2 linked regions of the Neodiprion lecontei genome follow. The protein of the gene in region 1 binds, or shares a complex with, the protein of each later gene. Links are inferred from orthologs where the notes say so. Each region holds a gene or a part of one and is shown in the gene's direction. Other genes may lie near its edges.

The links.
Region 2: glutamyl-tRNA(Gln) amidotransferase subunit B, mitochondrial (region 1) and glutamyl-tRNA(Gln) amidotransferase subunit A, mitochondrial share a complex: the UniProt entries of both Homo sapiens proteins name them as parts of the heterotrimeric GatCAB amidotransferase (AdT) complex. The link is inferred for Neodiprion lecontei from reciprocal best matches to the Homo sapiens genes GATB and QRSL1.

What each region holds. Positions count from the first base shown.
Region 1 is NC_060261.1:6,984,492-6,992,262, forward strand, and holds glutamyl-tRNA(Gln) amidotransferase subunit B, mitochondrial, read left to right. Parts: upstream 1-1,862; 5' UTR 1,863-2,268; coding exon 2,269-2,480; intron 2,481-2,735; coding exon 2,736-2,883; intron 2,884-2,972; coding exon 2,973-3,086; intron 3,087-3,272; coding exon 3,273-3,445; intron 3,446-4,146; coding exon 4,147-4,295; intron 4,296-4,365; coding exon 4,366-4,601; intron 4,602-5,147; coding exon 5,148-5,336; intron 5,337-5,690; coding exon 5,691-5,827; exon of another isoform or gene 5,828-5,840; intron 5,841-5,900; coding exon 5,901-6,024; intron 6,025-6,126; coding exon 6,127-6,345; 3' UTR 6,346-7,228; downstream 7,229-7,771. Other genes in the region: protein lin-7 homolog C, read left to right, coding at 80-116, 410-451, 632-744, 957-1,202, 1,329-1,493. UniProt on the Homo sapiens protein: Allows the formation of correctly charged Gln-tRNA(Gln) through the transamidation of misacylated Glu-tRNA(Gln) in the mitochondria. The reaction takes place in the presence of glutamine and ATP through an activated gamma-phospho-Glu-tRNA(Gln).
Region 2 is NC_060261.1:38,345,257-38,349,068, reverse strand, and holds glutamyl-tRNA(Gln) amidotransferase subunit A, mitochondrial, read left to right. Parts: upstream 1-1,545; 5' UTR 1,546-1,645; coding exon 1,646-3,211; 3' UTR 3,212-3,260; downstream 3,261-3,812. UniProt on the Homo sapiens protein: Allows the formation of correctly charged Gln-tRNA(Gln) through the transamidation of misacylated Glu-tRNA(Gln) in the mitochondria. The reaction takes place in the presence of glutamine and ATP through an activated gamma-phospho-Glu-tRNA(Gln).

The sequences.
Region 1 (7,771 bases):
AAAAATACTGAGTGATCATTGCGGAGAACAAAGATAGTAATTATCATATTAGAAATATTTGTACTCTCGCTTAACAGCCATGGCAACGATTGGGGAACCTCTCACATTAGCCAGGGGTAAGTTAACTTATTGCTCTTGTTTACTCAGTTTGGAGTACTGTCAGTTCGTCGTGCAAACGCCGGATAGTTTTCAATTCGTAGATACGCTTCTGGGTGTGATTAGTAATTAGATTGATCATGTAACTAAATTCATTGAATAAGTAATTGCAGAATAAGAAATGTATAATTTGGTACTTCAATTCATTCAATTGTCTGTATGTCTGTAGTATCATCTAATTATTAGTTACTAGAATGGACATTCACTATTTTTTCATTCTGGTACTCGCTTATGTTTATTTGTGTTTTTATAGATGTCAAAAGATCGATCGAACTCCTCGACAAACTACAGAAAAGTAAGTTGATGATTGAAATTTTTTTTAAATTACCTACATCCTTACCAAAACAAATATTTGTTAGATTATTACAAATTAAAATGGTTTGTATAAAGTTTTCATAAATAACATCATCGAGTAATGTATTTATATTGCAATTAAGTTTATCTTGAATATTTGATTGATACTGACTTATTTTAGGTGGTGAAGTACCGGCTACAAAGTTAGCAGCTCTGCAGAAGGTACTACAAAGCGACTTTCTCAATGCAGTAAGAGAAGTCTATGAACACGTGTATGAGACTGTTGATATTCAGGTAATACTAAGTATAAGCAATTATACCTTTTTCATAAAATAATCAATCTTTCTCTGACGCCAAAGTTTTGGAGAACATTCAAACGATTCGTAACATATACTTTAATTGGTGCCTGGCATACGCCATTCATGAGTTTTTGAGACTTTGAGTTTATTAGAACTATCCTGTTTAAAACCACTCTAATATAAGAGTATGTGGAATTTTTGGTACAGGGTTCTCAAGATGTGCGTGCTTCCGCCACAGCCAAGGCGACTGTGGCTGCTTTTGCGGCAAGTGAAGGACATGCCCATCCGCGAGTTGTTGAATTACCGAAAACAGAGGAGGGTCTTGGATTCAATGTGATGGGAGGAAAAGAGCAAAATTCACCTGTATATATATCTCGAATTATTCCAGGAGGTGTGGCCGACAGACATGGTGGTTTGAAACGTGGTGACCAGTTACTGTCTGTTAATGGCGTGGTACGTAATGTGAAATTTTTACATTGATGAAATATTAAGATTTAATCATACTCGAACGTTGCCATTCAAGAATTTATACGATGATACAGGATAGTGTAAATATTGTATTTTTCTCATTTCCTCTAGTGTATTGAAGGCGAAAATCATGAGACAGCTGTGGAATCGCTGAAACAAGCCCAAAACTCGGTGAAGTTAGTTGTTCGCTATACTCCTCGTCTTTTGGAGGAAATGGAATTGCGGTTTGATAAACATGCGCACCAAACTGCACGTAGGCGTCAACGTGTGCAGTAGACTGCAATGATTATTTTTATCACTACATATATATAGAATTTATGAATAACTGATATAGATACAATGTAATGTTACTTATATTAATTATTATAGTTTTAAGCGACAAATTAATATCTGGCTTAATTATCTTGTAATTCATCACCTAGAAATAACTTCTGTATGACCATCTCTCGTAAGAACATTATCAGTATTCATTAATGAACCGTTTAAAACCGATCCACAATATAATTAAACCCAATCATAAGTGTACGGGCAAATCCTCTAAACTTTAATTTCTTTTTAAACATATAAGTTTGAAGGAAATTCCAAGAGTGGACTCGTCTTGAAAAACCAAGCACTTTGTAATTGTCTTAAGCAATATTACACGCATCATTACTAAGCTTTCATAATTTCCCATAGTATCCAAATCTCAGAAGTGACATTCAAGCAACGAAAAAATTCATCCGTTTATCCTCAGTCATTGATTCTACGATGTCCTACATGTCTTGTTTGGCTTCCCTAGGGTTCGATTAGTCTGAACAGGGTCCATTGAATTAATTCTCGGATATAAAAATATTATGCTTCTAAACACGCGAAAAGATCTTAACTCTGATATACGTCGATGTAATTTTGCGAGTGGAATCGATTGCACGCGTCTAGGGTCGCTGCGAACAACGTATATTAGCGCTGCACGAAGCGCACGTGTTCAATATAGGTATAGGTCCATCTAGATAGAATTTAGTGGTCGTCAGCTGTGACAATCCGTATCACACCTAATTGTGGGGCGAGGTTATGTATGCGTGTATGTACGTACAATACATACGACACAGCCAACGCGAGCGACGGAGAGCCTGTAAAAATAGTGAAAATTTATTTGAAATATCCAATGAATTACACGAACTGTTGGAAAATTAACCCTTGCATCAAACGATGGCGCGAAAACAAGCCTTATCTCCGGATGTTGAAACATTGTTTTGGTACAGAAGCCAAGTCTCGAGCTGAAACAAAGTAACAACAAGCAAGATTTATAAAATTATTTAAATTCTTTCTACTTAACTGGGGGACATGCGTGTCATTTTTGAAACTTACTTTAAAGTGGTACAAAATCGATTTCATAAGGATTAACAAATACCTCCATAAAAGTGTAGTATCCATGTGAAAAAAAATCAATTTTCTATGGTGTCAATGAACACATCAGGAACGTTTTGAAAAATTTCCATTAGCTCGTTTCGAAATACTCCTTGATGCCAATAAATGTTTTAGGAAAAAATGGCGCAGTGTCGTTGGACTCGAAATTCACGCCCAAATTCAATCGAATTCAAAGTTATTTTCTGGTTCAAGCACCATGTATGGTTCCCCGATAAACAGTAACGTTTCATTCTTTGATTGTGCTACACCGGGAACACTACCTGTAAGGATAATCACTGATGAGTAAAGTTTCGTACTGCATCTGCTTTTTGCAGGTGAATTGCTTTATGAATTTGATATTATGATTTTTAGGTACTGAATAAAAGATGCGTCGAAGCAGGAATACTAACTGCTCTGGCGCTATCCTGCAAAGTAAACGAAGTATCATTGTTTGATAGAAAACATTATTTCTATGCAGATTTGCCAGTAAGTTGACTAGAAAGTAATTCAAATTTTGAACTTTATAAAACCCACTGTTTGAATATGGCGAACTTCATTTTTAAATTTGATGCAATTACTGTATGAGCTGTGGTTGGGCATATTGTCACGACGAGTTAATCTTCTAGACAGGTAGTATTAAATTGCTTGAGGCTAAATGATACATATTTACAGGCAGGATATCAAATAACTCAGCAACGTCAAGCCTTGGCTATAGATGGAGAACTCAATTTCCAAGTATATACACCGGGTATTCATCCACGACCCTACAGCAAAGTTTCTAAAATCAAGCAGCTGCAACTGGAACAAGATAGTGGCAAAAGCTTACACGATTTAATAGCAAAAAGGTGCTGTCAGAGATTCAATACCTATTTGCTGTAACTGTTGCTACAATTAAATTACTCTTAATTATTGTGGATATTTTGTTCGCTGGTAGACCTGTTGCTGAAGTAAAACAATCACTGACTTATATAAATATTCTCGTAATGCGTTCGGATTGTACATCATTTTAATATAGGTAAAACAAACCTCCTAACTCATCTATACAAATTTGGAGAAAAATTGTTTCCTGCTTATGCCAAAAGTATTGTCAAGTATTAATTATGTATGTCTTCACCGATTTATCTGCAATTTTCGCTTTCTCACTATACCATGTACGAAGAGTTTGGAAACCAAGTGCTAGCCATTATTATATATTGATTCCATTTCGTGAAGCGCACGAGTTTAAGCTGTTTCAGATCAATCTGTGTCTTACACAAAGCACTGCAGAGTACATTTCTAATTTTCATGTGTGTGAAATTTCTGTAAAAATTCTAAAAATCTATACCTACGTGAAGTCTTGAATGTCCTTGTTATATTTGCCCTGGCTTAAACAAAACTTGAGAACTCAAAATCGTTACCTTCTGAAGTTTAGCTTTAATTTCGATTATGCCTTACACTTTTGGGTCAAATACTTAAATTCTTTACTTTGTCTCAGACCATTATCAACTTGAAAGATATTAACAGACACTTACGGATTGAATTTTTATTTTATGATCAACAATAACAGAAGTTTGGTCGATCTTAATCGAGCAGGGATACCACTGATGGAATTGGTATTCGAGCCGGACTTATCAGATGGCGAAGAGGCTGCTGCGCTAGTCAAAGAGATCGTACTCATTCTGAAAAGATTGGGGACGTGCTCCTGTAAAATGGAAGGTAAAGTGGTATGAAAAAAAAGATTAACAACAAAGAAGTATGGCCATTACGCATAATGATCTGAATTCAGAGGGCGCCCTTCGAGTTGACGCCAATATCTCTGTGAATCGACCAGGGGAAAAATTGGGCACGCGAACAGAAGTCAAGAACATTGGAAGTATTAGGTCAGTGGCAGCTGCTGTAAAGTTTGAAATTGACAGACAGATTACAGAAATTGAGAATGGTGGTACAATTATTAATGAAACAAGGTCATGGGACACGGAAATTCGCAAAACAGTTCCAATGCGAGATAAAGAAGAAAAGCAGGTATAGAATGCATACTTTGAAAATATGGTATTTCTGTAAGAGTGTGTTGCGCAATTCTATTATAGCGGTTGACAATCTTGTCACATTTAAGTGACATGGCGATTCCGTTTTTTACTGAGAAGTCTTTCAACTTTTTACAAAATCTTCGTTTACTGTTGCAAACAGACTGTCAGAATTCCATTCATATGTGACGCTATTGTTAATAAGCTACTTTCAAAGACCTTTATACATTACGAATTGTAAACACAGCTCCTGGTTTGTAGTATAATAATCGCAGTATTGGTGGCACTTTACCTTTATTGTATTTTTGATGTTCTCTGGTGATTTTTCAATCAGAGTACTTTCCTCATACAAGTTTGAATTCATATTAATTTCTGTACATAAACCTTAAAATCTTTACGGTGCCTTCAACTAGAAAGTTTAATTTGAATTTCTAGTTTACTTATAGGCATACTATATCAGATCACATTTGTGTGGTGCAGTTCTGAAGGATAGAATAAGATTCTTTATAAATTCATGTAAAAAAAAATTTAAGTCACATTACAGGATTATCGTTTTATGCCAGAACCAAATCTTCCGCCATTGCACGTACACGTCACTAAAGAAATAAAAAATAAGTATGGATTGGTTGATGTTCCACTTCTGCAAGAAAGCCTTCCCGAGCTTCCAGAGGAAACACGATATAATCTTAAAAATAATTTTGGACTCGACTCAACTGCCGCCATTATACTTACTGTGAGTTTGTATTATTAAAGAAAATTCCAATTATTCCACCAAATATTCAAAAGTAAACGATTTCTGTTCCTTGAATTTTAGTTTAATTATAATCGAATTCGTATATATTGGACAGCGATGTGTACAAAAAAGCACACGGCCAGTGAATGGTTAAAGATATTGCCACACTGAACCAAATTCATTTACATTTCAATTGCTGTTATGCGATATAAAGTAAAAGAGAATCCCTAGGATACAAAGGCAATGCTAGTGGTCATCGTTGTCGTCAACTAATAGCTTCTCAACCCCTTTTGGTGGAAACCTTATGAATTATTTATCCGTGAATACATTGATGCAAATATGAAACTTTTTCAGAATGAAAACAATTTGCTGAATATCTTCGAAGCTGTTGTCAAAGAAGACAGTAAACGAAAACCCAAGCTTGTATCAAACATATTGATCAACCAGTTGCTAACAGTGGTTAACAGAAAAGCATTAGAACTGGATACTTGGTATGGAAACACGGTAAAACTATTACTACATGAAATAATAATAAATTCTTTCATCAACTAATTTATCTTCTAGTATTTTGAATGCGCAACATATTGGTGAATTGGTGGACATGCTACAAAACAAAACAATCAATTTAACTACTGCCGAAAACGTACTGGAAGAGTACATAACTGAATCGTCGATGACTCCTAAACAAGTAAATTTCGTTTCAGTGTAGCCATACATAGACAGATTGTATACATGGGTGGATATGTATGTAAAATTTTACTTTTCTTTAATGTATGTTATTTGTTTGTAGATTGTTGAGAAAAATAATTGGACTCAGATCACAGATGAACATCAATTAACTCAAATATGCAAAAATATACTGCTGCAGCGAGCTGATGTTGTAAAAAAGTATAAAGCTGGAAAGACAAAAGTTTTCAGAGCTCTGGTGGGTGCTGTAGCCCAGGAAACTAAAAATCGTGCTGATATGGCCACTGTTGTAAATATATTGAAAAAACTGTTAGATGAATGAGACATTGTTAGTTGAATTTTTCTTGTCGTTACTGAATTTTACATCTTCTTAAACAACGTTTCAAATAAAATAATTACTCTGCTATGCAGGAAAAGTCGTAAGAATTTATTCATTGATTTATTTTAATAAAAAACGAGAGAGAGTGACTGAATATGAGAATGTAGTTTTCACATGTTATCTAAATGAGAAATACACGGGGAGACATGTGAATTGAGAGAGCGACCTTCGTTTCTTGACCTTAGGCCTTATATTTGTGGATAGTCCTTTTGGGAAACACTGAATTTTAAGAGGAGCAGCCGTTCAAAAATTTTAAACTGTTCTTTTTTAATGCCCTATTGAACAAGCAAGAATATATCGAACATTTTATCCTATTAAATTCCTCGACTAAGAAACAGTATCCGTGAGGAATAATTTGGAGAATTAGAAGACGAATATGGAAGCAATATTGATTTCTATTGCAATATATTTAAGTAGTGTTCACGTTAGAAACATCGGAAATATAAAAGACATGTTGAAATTTTAATTGCATTATTCATTAGAAGTACAAAATCATGTAGGAAATAAATATATGTTTGTGGTACATTGTGGTAATTTTGGAGACTAGAAAATTCAGTCTCCCTGCGTAGTTATATTGTTGCTCGCAAAACGTTCGTGTGTAGTTTTAATAGTTGAAGTAGTAAAACGAAACAAAATATGTACAGATGGGTGGGACAGGATTGTCTGTCCATATTTCCACAAAACATGTCTGGGAGCTGTGTGCTAAAATTACACAAGATTTGGTAAATTGTAAGCAGATAATCATTTTCATTAAATCACAACAGTCCTGAAAGTACTTCTGAATAAGCACAACAATACACAACAAATCGCAGGTTAATCAAATAATCGTAATATGACAAAAAGGATTTCATTCCGAATCCTGCGATTGCCATGCCTGTTACTTTTTTCTTTTTAAATATGAGTCACTAGTCATCATCATTGGGAATTGGATTGCATTTGATTTCAGTTGGTTCAACTACTGTCAAGATTTAATCATAAGCTTTGCTCTGGTAAGACGTTTGATTTTTTCACTTAATCAAGAATAGTATTTACCAGTATCTGTGTATTAAGATCAAGTGCAATTACCTGCAATCAAATAAATAAATATGTAGATATTCGCATTACCATTAAATAAACACTAATCACTGTGCTAGTTGGAAACAGGATTTACTTTTTTTTTAAATAAACCATGTATACTGATTTACGCAAGCGTCGCATATCCGAAGCATTTATATATAATAGTCATTGAAAATTGTGAAATCTTGACAAATGATATATCTGCATACAGTAAACTCTGTTATTATTTTTTTTTATAAAGGCTATACAGTTATGGACTCAAGTTATGCTGCTTCGAATTTACAAGGAACCTAGCATACAACTCGGCCCGAAT
Region 2 (3,812 bases), about 31 Mb from region 1:
CGAAATCGTGTTAAATGTGAAAAAAATAGCAAAGGTTTAAAATTAAACCATTTAGATGGACCGCTTCTGTTCATTTGAGGTATGTCGGAAGGCGTAGGAAACGGATGACAGCTGGGGTTCAATATGACAACTTCTTATTTGAATAATCATTCAAACAAATTACTATTGCTAGTATGAATATTGGAGGGATTATTGATTCATACATATATAACAACCGAATTTATCTAGGGTTAGTATTTTTCGAATACAGCTTGAAATGATCATCAAGATATAATACTGAGTTTTAAGTCAGCTTTACATTATTGAGCACAAAATATGTATATTGTCCGCTAAACTTAACATTGGCACAGTTACCGTTGATCTGCGCGAATTATATTTTATGAGATTATTTTATGAACACGGGAGATAGTCAAGCTCGTTGAACTATAACCGACTGTAGAAAACAATGATGCGTTTATTTAGAGGAGATATTGTGGCGATTCTTTTATGACTTTCAGTCTAGTCTTTTACATTGTGTACACTATTGAATAATACGTTCTAAGTCGTAAAATAGTAGCAGTTTTCCGAACTTCATGTTATAACGAATGTCATATAGCTAGTAATGTGAAAGCAATTCGTAAATTGACTAGTACATGGATGAATTAAATCTATCTTAGGAAAAATTTACATTTCAAGATAGATTCGCGATATAGTAATAGCAGCTCGGTTCGTGATTTCGTATCGGAATATCCATGGTAGTAACATAAAAAGTCGAGAACTGAGGAACGCGAACACTTTAGGTTTGATTTAACGTATAGGAGTAATTTTTGAATTTGACATATGCGAGTGATAACATTTTCCGTATGTTCAAGGAATACTTTTTCTAATCTAGAACTCTTCAAGCAGCTGATGAATTTAACGTAAAACCGGCGCAATATCTGCGTTCACTTTCGATGGGTATGTTTTCGATAATACTATAAATGTATAAGCATATTGAAGAAAAATTCCGTGCCCTTAGAAATTTGTTTCATATTGTTCGAGGAAGAGATTCGTGTATATTATTGTATAGAAAGTTCGTATTAGACATAGATTTAGATATGTATTCTGAAATATCGCAAGGCAATCGCGCAAAAGCGCCGGTCGCTTCAAACGGTAACAGCTTTGCATGTAATACATGTATGAATTAAAGTTTATCTATTGTTACATCTAAAGTATCACCGTCAAATTCTCGTATAGACTCATTGTCAGTAGACCGGAACCAAATACTTTATTGTTTACGCTGAAATTCTTTTCCATGACATGTGAGCTAGTGTTCGATATAGTCGAGATTGGTCTATTTGTCGAAAATATTCACGCTTTCCATGACTAAAGGTAGACAAATAAATAAATCGAATTCTAATTCTACATTCAACGTTCTTCGTTTTCCTACTACACATCATTGATCCAACGTAGTTTTCTCACTTTGAATTTCGCGCGTGTAACGCGTGCCTCGTACGCCTAATTTTAGATTACCCGTGTAGCAATCATACGCGTGATTTAAAAAATTCATGAATCGAATATCGAATTGTTGAAAGCGTGGTTAATCACGAGATGCCGGGGTTGTTTAAAAGTTGAGGTTATGTAATACACAATCTTAATCCTGACAAGTAACAAACAAACTGAGACAATGAATAAGATACTGTCACGACCGATAAAACAAGTGAGTAACAAACTGAATGCCGGCGAATTGAAGCCATCCGAGATTTGCAGAGCCGCGGTGAAGCTGGCAAATGCGTCAAAGCCGCTAAACGCGTATATTTGTGTGACCGGAGGATCGGCAGAGTTGCAGGCACAGGAATCAGATGCTAGATACGCCGAAAGTCAGCCTCTAGGAACCCTCGATGGAATTCCAATAGCGATCAAGGATAACTTTTGTACAAGTGGCACAGCAACGACCTGCGCATCTTTGATGCTGGCTAATTTTGTTCCTGAATATGACGCTACGGTATATAGCCGTTTAAAGAATGTTGGAGCAGTTTTGATCGGTAAGACTAATCTCGATCAGTTCGCCATGGGCTCAGGGACAATAGACTCGTATTTTGGGCCGACAAAAAATTTGTGGAAATCGACCTTTATGAACAATTACTTTTGTCACCCTTCCTCCGAGTCAGAAACAAGCAACAAGGAAACCAGCGATGTTCCAGACAATTGGCACATCGCTGGGGGGAGTAGCGGAGGTTCAGCCATCGCCGTTGCCACAGGGTCCTGTTACGCCGCTCTAGGTTCAGACACTGGAGGCTCGACTCGAAATCCAGCATCCTACTGTGGGCTTGTTGGCCTCAAACCAACCTATGGCTTGGTGTCTCGTCACGGTTTGATTCCACTTGTGAATTCGATGGATGTGCCTGGAATAATTACTAGAAAAATAGATGACGCGGTTCTGGTGCTGAACGCCATTGCTGGGCCCGACGATTTTGACTCGACGATGCTAAAGAAGGAATTCACCCCAATCGAATTGCCGGAATGTCCAAGCGTAGACGGCCTGAGGATAGGAATCCCAAAGCAGTACAAGCCACCAGGGCTGAACGTGGAAGTTGAAAAATGCTTGCTAGATGTATCTAAGCACTTGGAAGAAGGGGGAGCAAAAATAGTTCCTGTATCTATGCCCCACACGGAGCACTCTATTGTTTGTTACTCAGTTCTAAATCAATGCGAGGTTGCGAGCAACATGGCTCGTTACGATGGAATTGAATTCGGACTTAGGGTAGACCAGAACGAGTCTACGGAGCAACTTTATGCCGAGACGAGGTGCAAAGGGTTTAACGAAGTAGTGAGGAGCAGGATTTTGACGGGAAATTACTTCTTATTGGCTGAAAATTACGAAAACTATTTTGTCAGGGCCATGAAAGTGCGCAGGTTGATTTACGAGGACTTTGAAAAAGTCTGGAACTCTGATATCGACTTGCTGCTCACTCCCACTACACTTACCGATGCCCCAAGGTATCGGGAATTCATCTCCATGGATAATCAAACTCAGTGCTCGATCCAGGATGTCTGCACGCAACCTGCAAACATGGCAGGAGTTCCCGCTGTCAGTTTTCCTGTAAGGCTGTCTAGCAACGGGCTTCCCCTTTCTTTGCAACTTATGGCTCCAGTTCTTCACGAACAACAGATGCTCACTACTGCCAAGTGGATCGAACAAGTTCTACAGTTTCCAGAAATTGTATTAAAAGATTCAAGCTTACTGATGTAAAAATAATGAATCACTCGACTGTAAATAAATCTATTTATTTATCTTGTTATGAATATTACAGCAATCATACAGGCAATTTTGGAACTTACAATTAGTTGGAGTTACTACTATAACTAATTTTGCATTTATATTTGTGATTAAACTGAAGAATTTCAGAAGAAAATTTTGTCCGATACTTATAAGCAACGTTTTCAAAGAGAACAGATAACTGATTCGCGTATCTTTTATCTTTAGCAGTACAATCGGTATAGGTCTATGCCAATCTGATTCATCTTGATTGTAATGCATAGAATATTAATTCGAGAGTAAAATTCGAGGCTCATTGGAATATCGTCGAATTCATACATGCTGAAAAGTAACATGTATCTAGATATTTGAAAAATATTCCGCAAACTGGTAGCGTGCTCGAAAAATAATTCCGTAGATACATGCAGTCAGTTTTTCGTGAATCAAGGAAATAGCCTAAGGCAGTGTTCATTATCGATTGAGTGAAGTTCTTATGCTTCATTATTCCAGTCGTTGAGGTAAAGATCAGGCGAATTGATCCAGACACTGTGTTAACTAATCCCATCAGATTCCGTAAAAGCAATATTTTACTCGC